2 linked regions of the Arabidopsis thaliana genome follow. The protein of the gene in region 1 interacts with the protein of each later gene in a biochemical or structural test. Each region holds a gene or a part of one and is shown in the gene's direction. Other genes may lie near its edges.

Region 1 (4,321 bases):
TACTAGTGTAATTTTTTTGAATTTTAAAATTAAAGATTTAGGTAGGAGATGTCAGAGCGGGTTAATCCGTCCCATTTAACCTAATCTACAACAAATTGCGATACTTTGCGAGTTTTGACGGATCATTCCATCGAAGACCTCGATATTCAAACATCATTCTAAATCCTACTCAAATTTCAATTGTCTCTTGTACTCATGTATTTCATGTATGAGAATTATTTCACTGTCTGAATGGGTTATGGATACTACTGATCATAACCATATCGCAAACCCATTTTCAAACATCTAAGATTATAATCCTAATCAGATGTATACGGAGCACCACTAGATTTAAGAGAATGGGGACATAAGCTGGTAAAGAATTGGGCCACCATTAAACGTGTGAAAGAAGAATTTGGGTTTAGGCCCATATCAAGCTAGATTCTCATGATACTTGGTTAAAAAGCAACCTTTTTATTTTTCTCCGAAGCAATTTACATTTGAGATTCATGATTTATTCATAGTAACGACTAAAAGAAAGAAGATGATGCATAGTTAGTTAGTACAGTGTGTTTTCCCCAATAGTTTCCCACGAGTCAGGCTTAACGTTTTCCTCTCGAATGACTCTACGTACCTCATTTAGTGACTTCGTTTTCTTTCACCTTAAGAATTGGATCATCGAGTTTAGGTATTGTTGTCTCTTTCTTTTCCTGTTCACAAATAGAAAAACGAGCAAGATTTTTTATTGAAGTTCACTCACAAGTCAAATGTTAAAATGAAACAGAGAAGAGTAGAGAGGTGAAGAAATAAATATACCTCAGCCTTAGATTTTGGTGTTGATTGTTCTGTGATATACTGTAAGATCTCAAAGAATTTGGTCTGCCCTTGGTTGATTGCTTTTTGGAGATATATCATTGCCATATCCTTAGCTCTAGTCTTTACCTTCACCAAGTTGCGGTCAATTTCATTTTCATGCTTTGCTATATATGGCCTGAAGAAAGAATCGTAAACGTATGTTGTTCCCTGAAATGATATAACACATAGGTAATAAAAATTAGAGAAAAAGTCAGTTGAATCAAAAGATATATAAGATATTACTTACTTTAGTCTTTGGAAACCAGAGATAAATGAAGAAAGCCAACTTCGCCTCGCTATACATTGGTAACCTTCAAGACAACATGAAAACATAAGAATACTAATATACAATACTGTAAAACTCTTTGTTTTCTAAGTAATATAAACAGCCTACCAAGAAACAAGAGCATCACCAATTCTTTCGAAAATCGTCAAAGCAGCTACAATAATCCTGCAAAGATGTTTTGAGTGGAAGGAAGCAAGATTTATATAGGAACCTAAAAAGGTTATAGATAAAGGATAGAATGTATGCATATACCAATACTGGCACCAGAACTGAAGTTGTTGAATTTCAGGCTTGTTGAGTTCGACCGTTTTGAAGCACTCATAAGCAGGATATGCATATCCAAACACCATTCTGTCAATAAATAGAAAGATTCATTACTTAGTTTGATTGAAAGAAATGTGTGTTTTATAAAATTAAAAGAAGAGATCAATAACATACAAAAGCCCTCTTGTCAGAAACGATCCAATCATTGTGATCACCTGCTAAAACGTTTAAAAAAAACAAAAGAATCTGCTTGTCAGAATTAAATTCTCGACCCCGATTCATTGAAATGATTATATCATCCAAAATACAAAAAGACAGAGACAAAACAATCAACTAAACAATATTGATGCATGCCTTCAAACGATTACACTTCCTAAAGGCTAATATGAAGAAGAAGATATTAACGGTTTAAGCGATTGAACAATAACACATACCTTATCAGAAAAACGGTTTCGGCGAAAAAGGAATGAGAAGAATGATTTCGAACGAATTATAGACGACGGTTACGTACGATAGTGACTTGCGAATGGAGAAACAAAAGATGGAGAAAAGGCGAAGCAAAACGGTATCGGATAGTGACTTGCGAATCCTTTTTTCATTTGTTCTCTACTTGTGAGTTTCAACTTGAAACAGTGCGGTTTTTAAATAGTCAACAATCACGACTTTTAGACGTTATCAGCCGTTGGATTTATACTTGACGGTTGTGATCGTCTACGTTTAAGCGGGTGTATCGTATCTCACCACACCGTATCTTGTTTTCCTCTTCTCCAATACGCTTCGGAAAACTGGATTACAGTTAACAGTGGATTAGTGGATAAGGAGATAAATACTAAATATCTTATTAAGCCACGTGAACAAATCTTAGCCATGGAAACATAATCTAGTGGCTGAGATTAACCCAAAACTACTGGTTCTTCTTCTTCCTCTCATCCATCTTCGCGCGCTTAAGCGATTCTCTGCAAAGCTTCATACCAAACAAAGAGAAGTCGAAATGCCAGTTTCAGCTCCATCTCCGCCTCGTCTTCATTCTCCGTTCATTCACTGTCCCATCAATTTCACTCCTTCTTCTTTCTCGGCGAGGAATCTCCGGTCGCCGTCAACATCTTATCCCCGAATCAAAGCTGAACTCGATCCCAACACGGTTTGATCCTCATCTCTGGCTATATAGACTTTGTTCTCTTCTCACTAGTTTTTATTGATGAACGATTTTGATTATCTTTCTAGGTAGTCGCGATATCTGTAGGCGTAGCAAGCGTCGCATTAGGAATCGGAATCCCTGTGTTCTACGAGACTCAAATCGACAATGCGGTGAGTCTTCTCATTCTCATTGTTGAAAATTTGATACCGTTTTGGCAATGCTTCTAAGTGAGTGCATTGCTGTGGAATAAAGTTAACACTGTTTTGATTTTACACTTTCATAGGCTAAGCGAGAGAATACTCAACCTTGTTTTCCCTGTAATGGCACCGGAGCTCGTAAGTGGATCTCTCTCAACTTTTTGTTAGCATTTTGGTTGGATTTGTGTAAGAGCAAAATGTTTGATGTGTCGAAAATGTTTATAAACATATTATGATGTTTCTGAAGAAATAGTTTCTTTGGTGGTGGAGCAGAGAAATGCAGATTGTGTGTGGGAAGTGGTAATGTGACCGTAGAGCTTGGTGGAGGAGAGAAAGAAGTCTCAAACTGTATCAACTGTGATGGTGCTGGTTCCTTAACTTGCACTACTTGTCAAGGCTCTGGTGTTCAACCTCGATACCTTGATCGAAGGTACTATACTATACGATTACTGTGAATCAGGAGCCACTCTGTTTTTTGCACATTGTAGAGATACTAACACATTTCTCTTTTCTTTTCTTTTCTTCTGGTCAGGGAGTTCAAGGACGATGACTAAATACCTTGCTCTAAGGAACATTTCTTTTCTTCTCCCTTCTCACATTTCTTCATTGTACAATGCTGTTTTGTTCACCAAACATGTTGAGAGAACATCATGACATGGATATTGTAATTGTGAAAGAAAACCACCAGAGTTCAATCAAATGTTTCTTCTTGTACTTACCTAGTAACCATGTCTACCTCGTCAAGCACATTGATTCAGTTTGTAATACTAAATCTATCCTCTTGCGTTATGGAATCAGCTTTCCTTGACCTCAAAGCAGTTACCATGTCCGACAAAGCGCCTGCCATTTTCCCCAATGCTGCTGGATCAAATATGGCTCGGTCTCAAAGAGGTCTTTGAATCCGGTTCACTCTTCCTTTTTCTATCCACCAAATGTGTGTTTGCTTGCGCTACAATTGGTGATGATACATTGTCTGTTGCCAATGACTCTTCTGAACCCTCAAAGTTAATTGATTACTTACTGTTGAAGTTAAGCATATCATCTTTTTTAATTTGATTTAATATTTTTCTTCATAGGCATAGTGGCCCATATTTAACCTCACATAATCAAAGTTTTTAAAATTATTATTAAAAATCCAAATTGAAAACTTTAATGCTAAATCTACATAATAATAGGAAAAACAAGTTGAATGTTTGGAATCGCTTACGACTAATGCTGGATCCAAAATCCGGTTAGTTTTCATATCATTATGTAAATTTAATATCCAAACAAATAAAAACATTAAAGAAAAGTTTTTTAAATTCTGAAAAAAAGAAAAACAAAATCAAAATCTTAAAAAGTATTTTTAAAAATCCGAATGAAAAACTTGAATGCTAGATCTACATAATAATATGAAAACAAGTTGAATGTTTGGAATTGCTAACGGCTAATGCTGGATCCAAAATCCGGTTAATTTTTCTATCATTTTTTTTTTGGTAGGCTATTTTCTATCATTATATAAAGTTAGCATCCTAATAAAATAAAAAACAAATATAAAAGATTAAAATCCGAAAAAACAAAATCAAAATTTTAAAAACAATTTTTAAAAATCTCAATTAATAA
Region 2 (4,534 bases), 3.0 Mb from region 1:
GGGAAGGAAAATGTAATCACAGCTGTGTGGTGGCTCTTCAGAATAACGCACTGTTCTCCAATGGTGCATGTCAGGTGACAATCCTACATCCATGTCGGACCTTTATGTGGAAGTATCATGCAACTCAAATATAAATCGATATTGTGATCTCATGTGGATGTATTTTAAGGTTTTAGTATTCGTATTTTGGCATTTATTTTGTTTCTGTCTCCAGATTCCTGTGGCGTTGCTTATTGCACAGTTTGCAAAGGATGGTAGTGGTGAAGCTGTGCCATTGGGATTTTCTGACGTGGTTAATCTTTTTCATGAGTTTGGCCATGTGGTACGTGAATGAAATTGGTTACGTGGAACAGCAGAATAAATTCTGTTGGTATCTTTTGTATGTATCAGGGGATGTTATTAGCTGATATTCCTTGCTACTATTGGTAAATAGGTCCAACATATCTGCAATCGTGCTTCATTTGCTAGATTCTCGGGCCTACGTGTTGACCCCGACTTTCGGGAGATTCCTTCTCAGTTATTGGAAAACTGGCAAGTAAACTGATAATTTTTTCTTAAAATCTTTCTGTATTAACACTAAATCCTAATAGACGGAATATAATTCTTGTATCTCTAGGTGTTACGAAAGTTTCACGTTGAAGTTAATATCAGGTTATCGTCAGGTGAGCGCTTCTCACGACTAAATTGTTGACAATTGTTCTTGTCGTAGACTAGTCATAATAATTTGTTTTAACCTGGGATTTATTCCTGCAGGATATCACCAAGCCACTTGTGGATGAAGTCTGCAAAACACTCAAACGTTGGCGATATTCTTTCTCTGCACTAAAGTCGCTTCAGGAGATATTATACTGTGAGATATTAATTGACTTTTAATGATGCTTATATACCTTTTCATTTTGACTTCATTGTAGTTTTTAAACTGAAATATCAATTCCTCACAATCGTTAGGACAAATGGTTTGTTAGTAAGACGAGTAGATTGTGGTTCTTATTATGCTTTAGAGGAAGCAGTAGTTAACTAAGAAGTCTACTAGCGGGTAAAATGTGGTATTGCCTAATGATGCTTGAAATATGGATGATCAGGTCTATTTGATCAAATAATATATTCGGACGATGATGCTGACTTACTCCAGCTAATCAGGAGTCTTCATCCAAAGGTAAAAGCATAAACTCTCAAAGCAATCTGGTCTGTTTACGGCAAAGAAATTTTCTCATACTAGTGTCTTTCTATATATAGGTAATGATAGGGCTACCAGTGGTGGAAGGAACCAACCCTGCTTCATGTTTCCCACGTGCTGTAATTGGCTCTGAAGCAACATGTTACAGTCGTTTATGGAGTGAGGTATGATTGATTTGCACTGTGGTGATCCGTACCTTCCATGACTTTAGTCTGAGAATCCACCTATTTCCACAGGTGTATGCTGCTGATATATTTGCTTCAAAATTTGGAGATGGGCATCCGAATCTATATGCCGGCTTGCAGTTCAGAGACAAAGTGAGAAGCGTATTTGTTTGTCTTTCCTTTGATTTAGTAGTGTGTGAGTGTAAAAGGACTAAACAAGTAACAACTACTTTCTTATTAGGTGTTGGCCCCAGGAGGAGGCAAAGAACCAATGGAACTTCTCACCAATTTTCTTGGAAGGGAACCATCAACACAAGCTTTCATCGCTAGCCGGACAAACTATAGTTTGTAGTATTTTGCACCTAACATTAGGTTCCAGTGAATCTGGTAGCTGGTGAAAATAAACATTTCTTTGGTTGTTAGAGACATCGTTTATTGATGTTTGTTAATGTGTTGAGAGGACCTAGCGGTTTAGGTGGAAACTGTAATCATTCATTCTTAGTTTCTTACCTTTCTCTGCATCGCAATCTCAAATTACGAAGAGTTATATAACATAGTGATCATCATTGAGCATGTACGGTGTTGAAGATAAGGACTTGTCTCGATCAATTTACAAGACAGATTCTAATATTATGGTTTTCTTCTCTTATTAAGACAAGAATAGTATTGTCTTTTTGGTTTACTTTGGAAATAGGATTGTAACAGGCCTTAAAGGTAAGTAGTTTCAGACATACGTAAAAGAAAAGAGTTTCAGATTACCTTATGAAGTACGGTTCTGGTTCGGTTTAAACTGGTTTGAACACGTGGCAGGTACAAGTAGATAAGGTACGAATCCACGAAATCATCATCTTCCCCAAACCAAATAATCTCTCGTTTCTAAACAAACTAGTGGTGAGTGAATCTTCTCTGGTGAGTAATGGAAGTGAGTATGTCTTTGAATGCGTTAACTCGGCTTCCTCTGAAGAACACAGGAAGATTCGAAGAGGTTGGTTTAGCGAGACACTCTCTGTTTAGCTCAAGAACGGCATGCCGAGAGACGGCGGTACAGCAGCGGCGGATGGTTTTTGTGGTGGAGGCTAAGGGAAAGAAAGGTATGGCGGCGCGTCAGTATCAACGTACACCTCCTCCTATGCCTAAGATTGAAGACGATGGAAACCCAAGATTCGTTATCTTCATTCGTATGGCCAATGTTCGTCTCTTTTCCACTCTTTCTTCACTTAGCTTGGATTAGGAGATAATTAAACGCTTAAACATGTTAGCTTTGCTTTGGTTCTGTTTCCAAAGTTATATACTTTTTTCAATTTGATACTCCTAGACCAATTATTAGATTGCAAATCATCTGGTTTCATCAAATTTGGATTTTTCAACATTTCAGCTCTTTGTTCTAGTACGTGTTTGTTTATAACATGAATTAAAATTGTTAGCTTGATTGGTTTTGTTTGCAAAGTTATGTACTTTCTTTCATTCGATCCTTTTAGATCAATTATCAGATTGCAATTGTGTTCTGGTTTCATCAATGCGAGTGTTCTTTTCAGCATTTTACTTTTTGTTGTAAAAAGTGTTTCTTGTGACGTGAACAGGTGTATCTTTGGTATCCTCTGAGTATAATAGCTGGTGGTACTACTGCTAAGATCATGGTTGCTGCAAAAGATAACCTCTTGGGGAAGTATATCTACAAAGACACCATTGCAAGAAACATTGCCGCTGTTATTTACAGAGTAAATTACACAAGCTTCTGCTTATTCTTGTGTGGTTGATTCCACTATTAATATGTGTCTCTTTAGATGTTATTTCTAATTGTTTTTATCTTCAACAGGATGAGAAAGAGATTCAAAAGACAGCAATTAAGCAGCATCGTGTCTTGCGTACAGCCACCGAGTTTCGATATGGCTACAAACTTGTAGTAATGCTCTCAAAACCCTTTTTCTTCAGTTATTGGAAGCTCTGCTTCATTTTGTAGTTGATGAGACCGTAGGAAAAGTTTTCTGGTTTCGTTTTCACTTATTATGGCTGTATTATACATTCAGGAAAACGGAAACATGAGAGCTGCACTTAGTACTTCAGATGTTATTGAGGTGAGCTATACTTAACTACATGAGATCAGCTCTCAAACTTCCTACAGTGACACCAAAAGGATGCTGTTATAGATGTTTTGTCTGAAACGTTTGTGTTTTGTCCTGAACCATCGCAGCTCCCAACCCAGGACCAGCTTAAAACAGTGTTCGACAAAGTTAAAGACTACTTTGGGGATGCAAAAGAGTCATTCGGAAAGCTATCATCGCTGAACCCGGGGAGTGACGAAAAAACTGAAGAAACCTCGGATGAGAAAGCCAAGTAAGTATAAACAGGTACTGAATGTTTCTTCTTTTCATTTTCACTAGAATTTTGGTGTTTTTCACCAAAATGATATACAACCGTTTTACAGGGCCTGAGGCTGAACAATTGACACTTGGTTGGTTGATTTTGATGTCTCAACCGTCTCGGTATGGGCTGCAGAAGGTCACTGGATATGACGAGACTACCGCTATTTTGTGCACATTTTCTCTATACATCTCTCACAGAAACAGCTTCTGTTAAATCTCTTGTAACATATAACTTATTGTGTATTGTAGATTTGTTGAAAGAAAGAGCCATTGGTTACAACTTGCAATTTCAACTTTTCTTAGACATTGGTCAAACAATAGTAGTCGAAAATAGGAAAACTTCCCACTATATCTTTCGAAGAAACCCTTAACTAGAACTGTGAACAAGATATGCAAAAGCTTCGTGAAGGTGAGAGCAAGACCATTTGCAGAGATTTAGTAGAATCTCCCTGATTGCTCCAGTAGGTAAAAAATCTAGTTCTGCGCAGTATTGGCGACATCTGACTGTCCGAACATTGCAATATGGTGTGTGTAGCTTCATAAATTGTTTGTTATGAATAAATTAGAGCTTTGTCAGGTAACTAATCCATTGCCTGCATAGAAAGATGTTAGATAGTTCAAAACTCTGAAGTTTCCCATCTTGGATCTGGTGGCAAGTGGCAACTGTTAGATATCTTCGATGTAAAACGTTTCCCGTAACACTCATTTGTATATCTGCTCTAAGATTGTGAACTCTCACATTATTTGATGATAAGGTTATGGGACAGATTCTCAACAGATAAAAGAACATCACATGTGGCAACTGTTAGATATCTTCGATGTAAAACGTT

Evidence for each region.
Region 2: the proteins of LQY1 (region 1) and AT1G67700 form a complex in vitro, tested with the Arabidopsis thaliana proteins (one study listed by BioGRID).

The regions. Positions count from the first base shown.
Region 1 is NC_003070.9:28,421,225-28,425,545, reverse strand, and holds LQY1 (DnaJ/Hsp40 cysteine-rich domain superfamily protein), read left to right. Parts: upstream 1-2,025; 5' UTR 2,026-2,375; coding exon 2,376-2,525; intron 2,526-2,608; coding exon 2,609-2,692; intron 2,693-2,805; coding exon 2,806-2,857; intron 2,858-2,992; coding exon 2,993-3,149; intron 3,150-3,251; coding exon 3,252-3,273; 3' UTR 3,274-3,816; downstream 3,817-4,321. Other genes in the region: HVA22G (HVA22-like protein G), read right to left, coding at 615-689, 796-1,002, 1,082-1,145, 1,229-1,471, 1,559-1,590. UniProt on the Arabidopsis thaliana protein: Protein disulfide-isomerase probably involved upon formation of a complex with HHL1 in maintaining photosystem II (PSII) activity under high light by regulating repair and reassembly of PSII complexes.
Region 2 is NC_003070.9:25,372,038-25,376,571, forward strand, and holds AT1G67700 (multidrug resistance protein), read left to right. Parts: upstream 1-2,034; 5' UTR 2,035-2,055; intron 2,056-2,100; exon of another isoform or gene 2,101-2,151; 5' UTR 2,152-2,257; coding exon 2,258-2,530; intron 2,531-2,921; coding exon 2,922-3,059; intron 3,060-3,157; coding exon 3,158-3,244; intron 3,245-3,368; coding exon 3,369-3,416; intron 3,417-3,532; coding exon 3,533-3,675; coding exon of another isoform or gene 3,676-3,679; exon of another isoform or gene 3,680-3,689; intron 3,690-3,766; coding exon 3,767-3,773; 3' UTR 3,774-4,013; downstream 4,014-4,534. Other genes in the region: AT1G67690 (Zincin-like metalloproteases family protein), read left to right, coding at 2-74, 215-322, 434-531, 617-662, 754-850, 1,083-1,156, 1,237-1,341, 1,414-1,494 and 1 more. UniProt on the Arabidopsis thaliana protein: Involved in photoprotection. Forms a complex with LQY1 that is involved in the repair and reassembly cycle of the PSII-LHCII supercomplex under high-light conditions. May function in guiding the release of psbC from PSII core monomers.